Arabidopsis thaliana: one gene and its partner. Changing the gene in region 2 together with the main gene of any one other region gives a genetic interaction. Each region holds a gene or a part of one and is shown on either strand. Other genes may lie near its edges.

Evidence for each region. Genes that interact genetically often act in the same process or in processes that back each other up.
Region 1: of HY2 (region 2) and ELF3, changing one enhances a phenotype caused by changing the other (phenotypic enhancement), as found in Arabidopsis thaliana (one study listed by BioGRID).

What each region holds. Positions count from the first base shown.
Region 1 is NC_003071.7:11,057,308-11,063,824, forward strand, and holds ELF3 (hydroxyproline-rich glycoprotein family protein), read left to right. Parts: upstream 1-1,636; 5' UTR 1,637-2,151; coding exon 2,152-2,370; intron 2,371-2,570; exon of another isoform or gene 2,571-2,732; coding exon 2,733-3,529; intron 3,530-4,709; coding exon 4,710-4,761; intron 4,762-4,851; coding exon 4,852-5,871; 3' UTR 5,872-6,017; downstream 6,018-6,517. Other genes in the region: ALPHA-VPE (alpha-vacuolar processing enzyme), read right to left, coding at 6,189-6,371. UniProt on the Arabidopsis thaliana protein: May be a transcription factor part of a circadian clock input pathway. Acts within a 'zeitnehmer' feedback loop and is involved in its own circadian regulation. Has no role in regulating circadian clock function in the dark.
Region 2 is NC_003074.8:2,801,583-2,806,554, forward strand, and holds HY2 (phytochromobilin:ferredoxin oxidoreductase, chloroplast / phytochromobilin synthase (HY2)), read left to right. Parts: upstream 1-1,945; 5' UTR 1,946-2,082; coding exon 2,083-2,304; exon of another isoform or gene 2,305-2,487; coding exon 2,488-2,604; intron 2,605-2,686; coding exon 2,687-2,781; intron 2,782-2,867; coding exon 2,868-2,961; intron 2,962-3,047; coding exon 3,048-3,179; intron 3,180-3,253; coding exon 3,254-3,358; intron 3,359-3,446; coding exon 3,447-3,497; coding exon of another isoform or gene 3,498-3,503; exon of another isoform or gene 3,504-3,577; coding exon 3,578-3,751; 3' UTR 3,752-4,340; downstream 4,341-4,972. Other genes in the region: AT3G09140 (hypothetical protein (DUF674)), read right to left, coding at 1-1,191; AT3G09160 (RNA-binding (RRM/RBD/RNP motifs) family protein), read right to left, coding at 4,680-4,752, 4,839-4,972. UniProt on the Arabidopsis thaliana protein: Catalyzes the two-electron reduction of biliverdin IX-alpha to the tetrapyrrole chromophore phytochromobilin (PPhiB).

The DNA.
Region 1 (6,517 bases), on a different chromosome or scaffold from region 2:
ATTGATATTTGATAATCTTTACCAAAAATTCGCAATCTCCTTTAGAGTGAAAGCGAGTATAACCGTATGACCAAACTATTTTGAGTACCATTGGTAATTCCTTACCTTAAGCTTCCAGAGGTATTAGTGCTATATATTCATAGTGCCACCGAGTATTTTGAACTCCGAAATGATTTCTCACTATCCGACCACTCCCAATTATATAACATGCTTAGAATTATTCGTAAGATGGATCGTAGTTGCATTTTACGACACCATACAGGACAAGTCCATGATAGTTTGAGTTGGTGGATTTTGGAACCCCTGCAAATTTATTTTATACATAACAAAGGCCCCAATCCATTCCTTAGCATCACAACTTGGGACTTCTATCTTTTGAAGGATACATTCACTTGTTGGTTTTGGTAAATATGATTGTTTCTTTACTTCCGAATAAGCAATATATAAAAGTATCTAAAAACGGAAGTAACTTTTGATGATCCTAAAGGTTTTGTAATTGATACATGTCCAAAAACCTCTTAATATTCTTTCTCACAAACTGTTGATGGAGTTAACAAAGGGAGACAAGGTAATTGGGACAATATCAACGTTAGATACAGGACAAGTGAAAAATGTGGGGTTGATGTCTTCAGCTGCAGCATATCACCGTTGGTATATATTGTCAATTATTAGTCCTATGGATTTGAAACGTGTTTTAGTAAATAAGAGTGTCCAAGTGGGACATTTCCAATAACGTATCACAGCTCCTAGAGCTTTTGCTATGTTTCTCTAGGCCTGGGCCGCCTAGCCCACATTCCAAGCAAGGAAATGAATGGAGTTGGGCATCAAAATTTTGGAAGCATTTTTAAGACAAATTATCTTTTAAGTTTCCTTTTTTAAACATAAACTATATTTTAGGCTTTTTTAAGATAAATATTATTTGGATTTTCTTTCACTCATATTTTTGGATTTCAACTTAACAAAACATAGGGCGTGTCTATTTGACTCCACCTACCCACCCTACTGGAGTTCGATCCCACTAAATCGCGTTATCCCGCATAGTAGGGATTGACTATGGATCGGACTTTGTCGATCCAAAGATATCTAAGAAATTCAGAAAAGATTGTATAAAATTCAGAAACGATTTTACGAAATTCATGAAAAATGAGAAATACATGTTTTTTTTAATTTACGTCGGCATTAAAAACGTTGGACCGGCTCTGTGTTTCACCAAAGAAATTGTTTCAGTTTATGCATGATCTTCAACTTCCATATTCTTGTTTTCAATTCTGGAAATCCCTAACAGATCGGAGCTCTCCTCATTCAGTGAGTTGGAAGATTGCATGATTATATAATTACTCTTCACATCCACATATATTACATTATATTCCCCTATAATTTCATACAACCCTAGAAAAGAATCTTCAAGTAATCTAATCGTGTCGATGACTCCACTCATTTGCTAGAAAAGAAAAAACAAACAGACTTCATTTAGCTGAAAACAATCTTTTATTCAACATTACAAAGCACTGATCAAAGAACCTCTAACATGGTAATATATCTATGACATTTTACGTATCCTAAAAGAAAACAAAAAGTGATGTATTGGATGATGTTTTTTTTTTTTACTTTCTAGTTTCTTATTACAACGACAAAAAGAGTCCACGTCGTCACGCACTTTTCCGGTGGTGAAAAAAATGTCCAAATGGATTAAATCTATAATATCTCCAGAGAGATCCTCTCCTTCTATCTTTTTGGGCTCCACTTTTCCTATCTCTTTTTGCCCCTTTCCTCTCTCTGTTCACAAGTCATCTTCTTCCTTCCTCTGAATCTTGTTCCTTTTTGCTCTCTCTACTTGATTCACCCACTCTGTTTCTCGATTAGTACGTTGAAAACTCACTTTGGTTTTGTTTGATTCCTCTTTAGTCTGTTTTTCGATTTCGTTTTCTCTGATTGGTTTGGTGGTGAGATCTCTATCGTAGTTTGTCCTTTGGGTTAAGATATTTCATTTGATTGGTGGGTTTGTTTTATTGAAGCTTATTGTTGTGAAAGTTGGAGTCTTTCTCAGTTTTTAGGTTGAATTATTAAGAGAAAGGGAAGATTTTTGGTGTGAAGTTAGGTTATTTGGGGTTTGAGAAGTTTGCAAGTGAAAAAGGTTGTGAATTGTGAGTGATGAAGAGAGGGAAAGATGAGGAGAAGATATTGGAACCTATGTTTCCTCGGCTTCATGTGAATGATGCAGATAAAGGAGGGCCTAGAGCTCCTCCTAGAAACAAGATGGCTCTTTATGAGCAGCTTAGTATTCCTTCTCAGAGGTTTGGTGATCATGGAACGATGAATTCTCGTAGTAACAACACAAGCACTTTGGTTCATCCTGGACCATCTAGTCAGGTATTGTTTTGATTTTGATCATTGTATAGGCTCTTGATGTTATTAGTTGTATGAGTTTGGATGTTATATAGCCTGAAAGAGAAAGTAGGACATTGGTTGATCTATGTTTCAATTGTTATCAGATCATAGTATCTTCTTTTTGCTTATGGATTGAGCTTTTAGGATTGAATTCTCCTGTATATATGAGAGTCTTGTAGACACAAGTTTATCTAAGTGTGGTTTATTTCTTAAAACTAACATTCTTGTTGTGCCTGATTCTTTTTATGTTCTGAAGTTCGATGAAAGTTTCTTGTGATTGCCCTGAGCATTCAGACTATTGCAAGGACATGAGAAATAATCCTTTTTTACCCTCTTCAATGCAGCCTTGTGGTGTGGAAAGAAACTTATCTGTCCAGCATCTTGATTCTTCAGCCGCAAACCAAGCAACTGAGAAGTTTGTCTCCCAAATGTCCTTCATGGAAAATGTGAGATCTTCGGCACAGCATGATCAGAGGAAAATGGTGAGAGAGGAAGAAGATTTTGCAGTTCCAGTATATATTAACTCAAGAAGATCTCAGTCTCATGGCAGAACCAAGAGTGGTATTGAGAAGGAAAAACACACCCCAATGGTGGCACCTAGCTCTCATCACTCCATTCGATTTCAAGAAGTGAATCAGACAGGCTCAAAGCAAAACGTATGTTTGGCTACTTGTTCAAAACCTGAAGTTAGGGATCAGGTCAAGGCGAATGCAAGGTCAGGTGGCTTTGTAATCTCTTTAGATGTATCAGTCACAGAGGAGATTGATCTCGAAAAATCAGCATCAAGTCATGATAGAGTAAATGATTATAATGCTTCCTTGAGACAAGAGTCTAGAAATCGGTTATACCGAGATGGTGGCAAAACTCGTCTGAAGGACACTGATAATGGAGCTGAATCTCACTTGGCAACGGAAAATCATTCACAAGAGGGTCATGGCAGTCCTGAAGACATTGATAATGATCGTGAATACAGCAAAAGCAGAGCATGCGCCTCTCTGCAGCAGATAAATGAAGAGGCAAGTGATGACGTTTCTGATGATTCGATGGTGGATTCTATATCCAGCATAGATGTCTCTCCCGATGATGTTGTGGGTATATTAGGTCAAAAACGTTTCTGGAGAGCAAGGAAAGCCATTGCCAAGTAAGTTCACTAGAAATTTACAGTTTGGTTATTTATTCTCCGCTCTTTCTATTTATCTCCTTCTTTGATACCAACATTTTTTGCTTGAAAGAAGTTAATATTTAAGCATTGTTCCGTAGTCTTACTGAAGCTTTTTCCTCTGTTGTTTTTTGCTATTTTCATTGAGGACTGTGGTAGGGCATATTTCACTATCACCAAATTTCAAATTTCTAGAACACTCTCCTTCATATTTTTTTTCATGATTAATGCTGCAATTGATTGCTGATATACATATATGACTATAACTCAGTTTCATATTCTGTCTCATTTTGGGAGAAAGAGATTTCAGGTTTATGCTTGAGAAGTGATGGTTCTATAGTTGAGAGGCCCCTGATTCATCTAAAATGGTCCTATTATGTGTTTAGTTGTAGAGTCCTCGGTAGAATATTAACGCGTTTAACACGTTGGATCATGTTATAGCAGGGAGGGACATTCTCTGTTGACCTATATTGTGCAAGGTGCCCGCCGATGGCTTTATTACTATACCTTCTTTGCATCTGGTTGTTGGAACATGTCCCTGTCTCGGTTTGGTATTGCTTTTATTCTGCACTGTCGTCTTGGGCATTTTCCCTACTTGTCATTCAAGGGGTTGAACCAGGTAGGGAAATGTTTTTCCGAGGACCCCAGGATCTAAATTTTAGTTAACCATACGTAAAGTTAGTTTTGAGTCTTATGACGATGCAGAATTATAGTTTCTTCTTACTACTGCTTAAGAGGATCCTTAGTGTGGTTGTGAACTACAGAGTTTTTATGATTGTAGGCTTCATGACTTAACTTTTAAGGTTCAATGTACTCTAATCCATATGGTAAGGTATCGGATTCACGACCAATGCAAATAATAAGATTTTTATTTCTTGCTTCTTGTTAAATATCTGACATCTCATTTTGCAGAGGATAAGCTGCGCTGTAAGCTAGATTTCAATAAGCCCGTCCTTTGCATTGTTATCTATGCTTTAATATGTCATTGGACCCATTGATTTGGTTTTCTTCTATCTTTTTTGATTGGCTATGTATTCTTGTTTCTTTTTTCCTATCTCATTTCGATCGTATTGTTCCATTAGCTGTTCAACCTAAACTATGTCTCTCTTTGTTGAACTTTTGATGGATAATCTTCTTAATGTGACTCTGTTTCTCATTACAGTCAACAAAGAGTATTTGCTGTTCAACTATTTGAGTTGCACAGACTGATTAAGGTAAAGTCATTCAGAAACTTCTCATATGTTTCCATGAGTATTTGTTTCTTCTCGAGCTGAAACAAACCTCTTCAACTGTGTAATAATCAGGTTCAAAAACTTATTGCTGCATCACCGGATCTCTTGCTCGATGAGATCAGTTTTCTTGGAAAAGTTTCTGCTAAAAGCTATCCAGTGAAGAAGCTCCTTCCATCAGAATTTCTGGTAAAGCCTCCTCTACCACATGTTGTCGTCAAACAAAGGGGTGACTCGGAGAAGACTGACCAACATAAAATGGAAAGCTCAGCTGAGAACGTAGTTGGGAGGTTGTCAAATCAAGGTCATCATCAACAATCCAACTACATGCCTTTTGCAAACAACCCACCGGCTTCACCGGCTCCAAATGGATATTGCTTTCCTCCTCAGCCTCCTCCTTCAGGAAATCATCAGCAATGGTTGATCCCTGTAATGTCTCCCTCGGAAGGACTGATATACAAGCCTCACCCAGGTATGGCACACACGGGGCATTATGGAGGATATTATGGTCATTATATGCCTACACCAATGGTAATGCCTCAATATCACCCCGGCATGGGATTCCCACCTCCTGGTAATGGCTACTTCCCTCCATATGGAATGATGCCCACCATAATGAACCCATATTGTTCAAGCCAACAACAACAACAACAACAACCCAATGAGCAAATGAACCAGTTTGGACATCCTGGAAATCTTCAGAACACCCAACAACAACAACAGAGATCTGATAATGAACCTGCTCCACAGCAACAGCAACAGCCAACAAAGTCTTATCCGCGAGCAAGAAAGAGCAGGCAAGGGAGCACAGGAAGCAGTCCAAGTGGGCCACAGGGAATCTCTGGTAGCAAGTCCTTTCGGCCATTCGCAGCCGTTGATGAGGACAGCAACATCAACAATGCACCTGAGCAAACGATGACAACAACCACAACGACGACAAGAACAACTGTTACTCAGACAACAAGAGATGGGGGAGGAGTGACGAGAGTGATAAAGGTGGTACCTCACAACGCAAAGCTCGCGAGTGAGAATGCTGCCAGAATTTTCCAGTCAATACAAGAAGAACGTAAACGCTATGACTCCTCTAAGCCTTAATCCTCTCTATGCGTATTGTACTTGATATGTATTTTACAAAATTAGAAAAATTGTGATAGATGTTATCCTCAATATATGTACCATGTAAACGTATTATGGTGTAAGCCTCATTTATATGTGTTAATTTGTCTTAAAGCCTTGAAATCACTTGAACAACAAAGATTATTTGAAACAACTACTTACAATCACTGTTTCTTTTGTCTGTGACATCAAGAACTTAAGCATCCCATATTTACAACATCTTGTCTACATAGGAAGGAGTATAATTGGTAGTAAGATATTAATGGACATCGATTAATATAGGGCGGAGACGAAGATCAAGCACTGAATCCACGGTCAAGAGAGCTCCAAGGACTGGTAGGGATGGTGGGACAAGCCTGCATTGCTGCCTCCTCCATTTGCCTCATCTGAATCCCTGCGTTGCACATGTTTGCAATCGACCTCATGTGCTTTATTCCGTACTGAGACAACGATCCACAGTGCCTCTCGAAAGCTCTCACCTAACAACCACATAAAGGAGAATAAGAAAGTGATCATCACAAGAAGCTTAATCATCTAATGAGGACTGAAAGTGATTTTTTTCCGACATATCATATCGTATCTAACGTCCTGAGTCTTGCATCCTCTGGCCAATACCATTGTTTAA
Region 2 (4,972 bases):
GATCTCTTGTTGCTCAGTGACGACATCAAGTAACTGTTTAGGGCAACTATAAAACGAAGGAAGCTTGGTTTTGGAAGAGGATGAAGCATCAATTCTCTTGAAGCTTCTGAATAAGTTTCCAATACAACCTAAACTGATATTCCCTGCAGAGATGTTCCAGACAGATTCAAGTGGCAAAGCTAGAAAAGTGAAAAGAAGATCAATGAAGTCTGCTCCACATTCAACACAGAGAATCTTGATGTTCGGTTTTCTAACAAATGCTTTAAAAGTTATGGTTTGGCCTGGTACTGCTCCATCTCCAGATCCTTGCAAAGTTGGACTTAGAGGTATACGAGATCTGATCATTTGCAATGAGCTTTGCTTCTTCAGAAAAGTGTCGGTTAAAGGAAGGTCCGAAGTAAAGAAACATTCCAGCAAAGTCAGTACCTGTTGATGACACAAACAAACACTCAACAAAACATATATATTCAAACTACGAAGACCAACGTAAGATGATACAGTAAAAAATACCTCACTGACACCGACATGAAGAAGTATTTCACTGAGCTTGGAAGTATCTGCGTAGCCTAAGCCTCTGAGAGTATTCAAAACATTATCCATAGAGCTCGCCTCCACTTTCAGATCATCTGTTATAATGAAAGAAGAAGCTTTACAGCTGAAAAAAACTCCATCATTATCCTTTCTCAAAATCCTTCCTTGAACTTGCTCTTCTTCAAGTCCCTTAATCTCCCGATTCATCACTCTTTTGACAACCTTCGAGTCAACAATTTCTCCACATTCACATTCCTCCGTGTTCGAAATGCTATAATGATGTCTGCAGGATTCTTTAAAGCCTGAGCAAACAAAGTACTTAACAGCCCTAGTGTCATCAATTTTCAACTTCATATTTCTGAACTTCTCAAGATTCACACTCCTAGGATACAGTAGAACTTGCTTACATGCTTCTGTCTGAAAACTCTCAAGATCCATCTCTGAAACACTTTTGTAAAGATTGTTGAAACATCCTATACCCACTTGAGGCGATTTTTGATGTTTCTCAAGCAATCTAACAATAGTTCCCATGGGAAGAGCGAGAAAACTAAAGAGAACATCAACAAAATCCTTACCAGATTCAGCCAAGACAACCTTGTTCTTCAGTTCATCTATGAGAAGTCTCACACTTAGCTTTTTTGACTTTGTACTCTCAGCCATTGGAGATTGTTAACAGAGAACGCTAAGGAAGAGAAGAACAATACAAAGAGATAGTAAAGAGAAAACGTTTTGAAAGTTTAAACCAAGAGAAGAAGGATTGTGACTTAAATAGTGTTTTTAAAATTTAATAACTTTAAATGTTATGAAGTTCTATTTTAAAAGAAATTTTGATAACTTTAATAAAAAGAAAAATAAGAAATAAACAAAATAAATAAATGAAAGATAATAAACTATTGCTAGAGAGTTTTCTATAATCTTGTTGATTAGTTACTCCATAATCTTGTAAAGTTTATCAAACAATCTTTCTATTATTATTATTTTGGTAGAAAACAATTTTTCTATTTTAATGATACTTATTATTACTTTATTTTGAGAATAAAAGTGTAAAAAATCATAAATCAATAACAAAATAATTTAATTTATTAACAATTATAAATTCTTTTATTTTAGTTGGATAAACACAAAAATTTTCTTGATTTTATAAAATTTTAAATATGATAACTCCAAATTTATGAAGATTTTTTACAAAACAAAAACATTAAATTTTAGCAGAATTTTGATAAAATCTTAATGAATAACCACAGATTTTTCAATCACATATAAAATTATTTAAATTACAAACCAATAAACACCCCTAAACTTTTGAATTCCCCACGTCAACGTGACTGTGCATTCCACGTGGCGGATGTGGGCCCTATAGTTGGACCATGACTCGGACGGATGTTGAAATTCATTGTCGTTGCCAATTGCGTTTGTCTCACTGAAACTGTGAAAATTTTATCTCTTTTATAGATAAAGAATCTTGCTTTTTTCAGTTTTCAGTATGAAGAAGAATTGAAGAGAGTGTCCGAGGAAGGAGACCTTTGGTTTCAGTTTGTGAGTCTTGTTGTAATGGCTTTATCAATGGAGTTTGGGTTTTCAATTGGGTCATGCTTCAAGGCACCAAACCCACCTGTTCTAATCTCTGCAAGCCCTAATAAGATCAATTTCACGTTGAGAAGGAGAAAGAAAAGATTCTTACTTAGAGTCTCTGCTGTGTCGTATAAGGAATTCGCAGAGTCTGCTTTAGAAGAAACCAGGAAAAGGATCGTTCTTGAACCTTCACATCTCCAGGTATATGCAATTACATTTCGTTAGTGTAGTGGGAGGATTATATTTCTCATTGTTTCTTGCTGTGAATTTTGGGTAAATTGATTTGAGTTGTCATTAGGAACCAAACAAATAACTTTACTGTTATAGACTGCTTATATAAGTAAAAGTTCAGATTTTGTTTTTCTAATCACGAAACTGTTTCAGGAAAAGTATAGTAGCATGACAGGACTAGATGGTAAGACCGAACTTCAAATGCTTGCTTTTAAATCTTCAAAGATTAGACTCTTGAGGAGTATGGCAATAGAGAATGAGACAATGCAGGTTTAACTTCAGCAGTACAAACTGATTGCTTTAGTCCCATTTCCTTACTTTCAATTGATTGATTGTTTGTATCTTCGCTTAGGTCTTTGACTTTGCGGGTTTCATGGAGCCTGAGTATGATACTCCCATATTCTGTGCTAACTTTTTCACATCTACCAACGTTAACATAGTTGTATTGTAAGTTATCTTCTAGTTATGCTGGAGTTATCAGGTCTGTATTGTCCAAACTGATGTTCAATATTTTACTGTATGTTCTTCTTTAGGGACCTTAATCCTTTGCATCAGTTGACTGACCAGACGGATTACCAAGACAAGTATTATAACAAGATAATGTCCATATATCACAAATATGCTGAGGTGACCACAAGAATACACCAAATTACTCAATTGCAAGTAAACCTAATGCTGAGGTGTAAATGACTGATCTTGAGATTTATTTGCAGACTTTCCCATGGGGAGGGAAATTGACTGGTGAATCCATAAAGTTTTTCTCGCCTTTGGTGATGTGGACTAGGTTTTCGTCTAGCAAAGAAAAACATAAGGCTTTGTTCTCTGCGTTTCTAGAGTACTATCAGGTATATACTCAGCGGCCAAAAGCTAAGGTTTTATTGGAAACTTTGACTGAGAATCTATCATCTTCTTCCTACAGGCATGGCTTGAGATGACAATCCAAGTGAGGGAGGAGATGGAACCATCTCATGTGAGAGCCAATTGTGAAGCACAACACAAGTACCTGACATGGCGAGCACAAAAGGTGATTTCATTTCCTTTTGTGTAATTTGCATGTTTGAACAGACACTGTATCTGTATTGTTACAATGGATATTGATTTGGTGTTTGCAGGATCCTGGACATGGTCTTCTTAAAAGATTAGTAGGTGAAGCAAAGGCAAAGGTATAAAAGATTTGATCCCATTAGTGTCCCCATTATTAATTAGCTTGTGAAGATGTTGAAAATGATTTGAACAAAATCAGGAGCTGCTAAGGGATTTCCTGTTCAATGGGGTGGATGAGTTAGGCACAAAAACATTCATTGATTACTTTCCAGAGTACCAAACAGAAGATGGAACTGTAAGCGATAAACGAAGTATCATTGGGAAGTCATATGAAACTCGTCCATGGGATTTAACAGGACAATTTATCGGCTAACAATGATATATGTGAACAAGTCAGATTTCAGAGTCATCAACACAAGAGGACGTGAACTTAGGGAAGTAGGAATAAGAAAGAGCAGCATGAGGAGTCTCTCAGGTCTATCTGCATTTCAAGATGATTGTTTGAGTTACCATGCATTGTAGTTTTACAAGTGTAGCTCTCAGCCCTTCATCAAAATGAGAATCCTCGAGTATGATATGATTTTAATGAAAATGTATTCGTCTCTACCTAATCAACAGAGATTAACTTATAAAAATCCAGACATAAACATATCATAACTCTAACATCCAGACATAAACATCATGCGTTAGGTAACCAAGGCAGATGATGATTAGCGAGCTTAATAACTTAAACATCTAGACAAAAAGCATAACAAGTAAATAAAAAGGAAGGTTGCACAAGTTAAAAACACCCAAGAGGTTCGTCTGCGAGCTTTCTTCTACTCCAAAGTCATCTTTGGCTTCTTAATTATCTTCTTTTTTGCAGTCCTCTTTGGCTTCTTAATTATCTTCATTATGGCAGCCATCTTTGGCTTTTCATCTATAAAGTAACAACGAAAGTTTGTTACACTTGGTTAACAGGAAGCAAGAATCAACAAGATATTGACGTACCTGGGCGGCCACAAATGATGCGGCCTTTCTGGCGGCGGGGGTGGAAAATGTTTCTTCCATGGTAAGCAACAAACCGAACAACTGCTTTGCGCCCCCCTCCCATGTCGGTCCCACTAAGTTTTGGGGCCTTGTCTATTGCGTCTTCTCCCAGTAGATACACTATAGAGAAGCTGTAAAAAACCAGGACGACAAGTCTTTAGTATAAGTTTAGACTTTACTAACTTGGGGAAATATGGTTGGGGAGGAACAAGCCACAAACCTATCGAAAATCATGACATGATCAACCTTCCCACATGAAGAGAAAAGTTTACTCAACTCGCACTTGATATCAGACTCACTAAGCGAAGTGTCGTATCGTATCCTTCAACCTCTAACTCAACGCAACTGAAATAATTGGATTGCAGCAGATGATATAGTATAATTAGAAAACAATCTTAAAGATACAAATCTCGGAAATAAATTCCGTTTACTTGTCTTCTTCTTTCGGAAAGGGATCGGCCTCAGCATCGACAGTCCATCCTCCCATGTCACTTCCATTGAGTTGCAAGGCCTTGTCTGCTGTGCCTTCTCCCACAAAATAAATAAAAGCATGACTCCAGAGAGA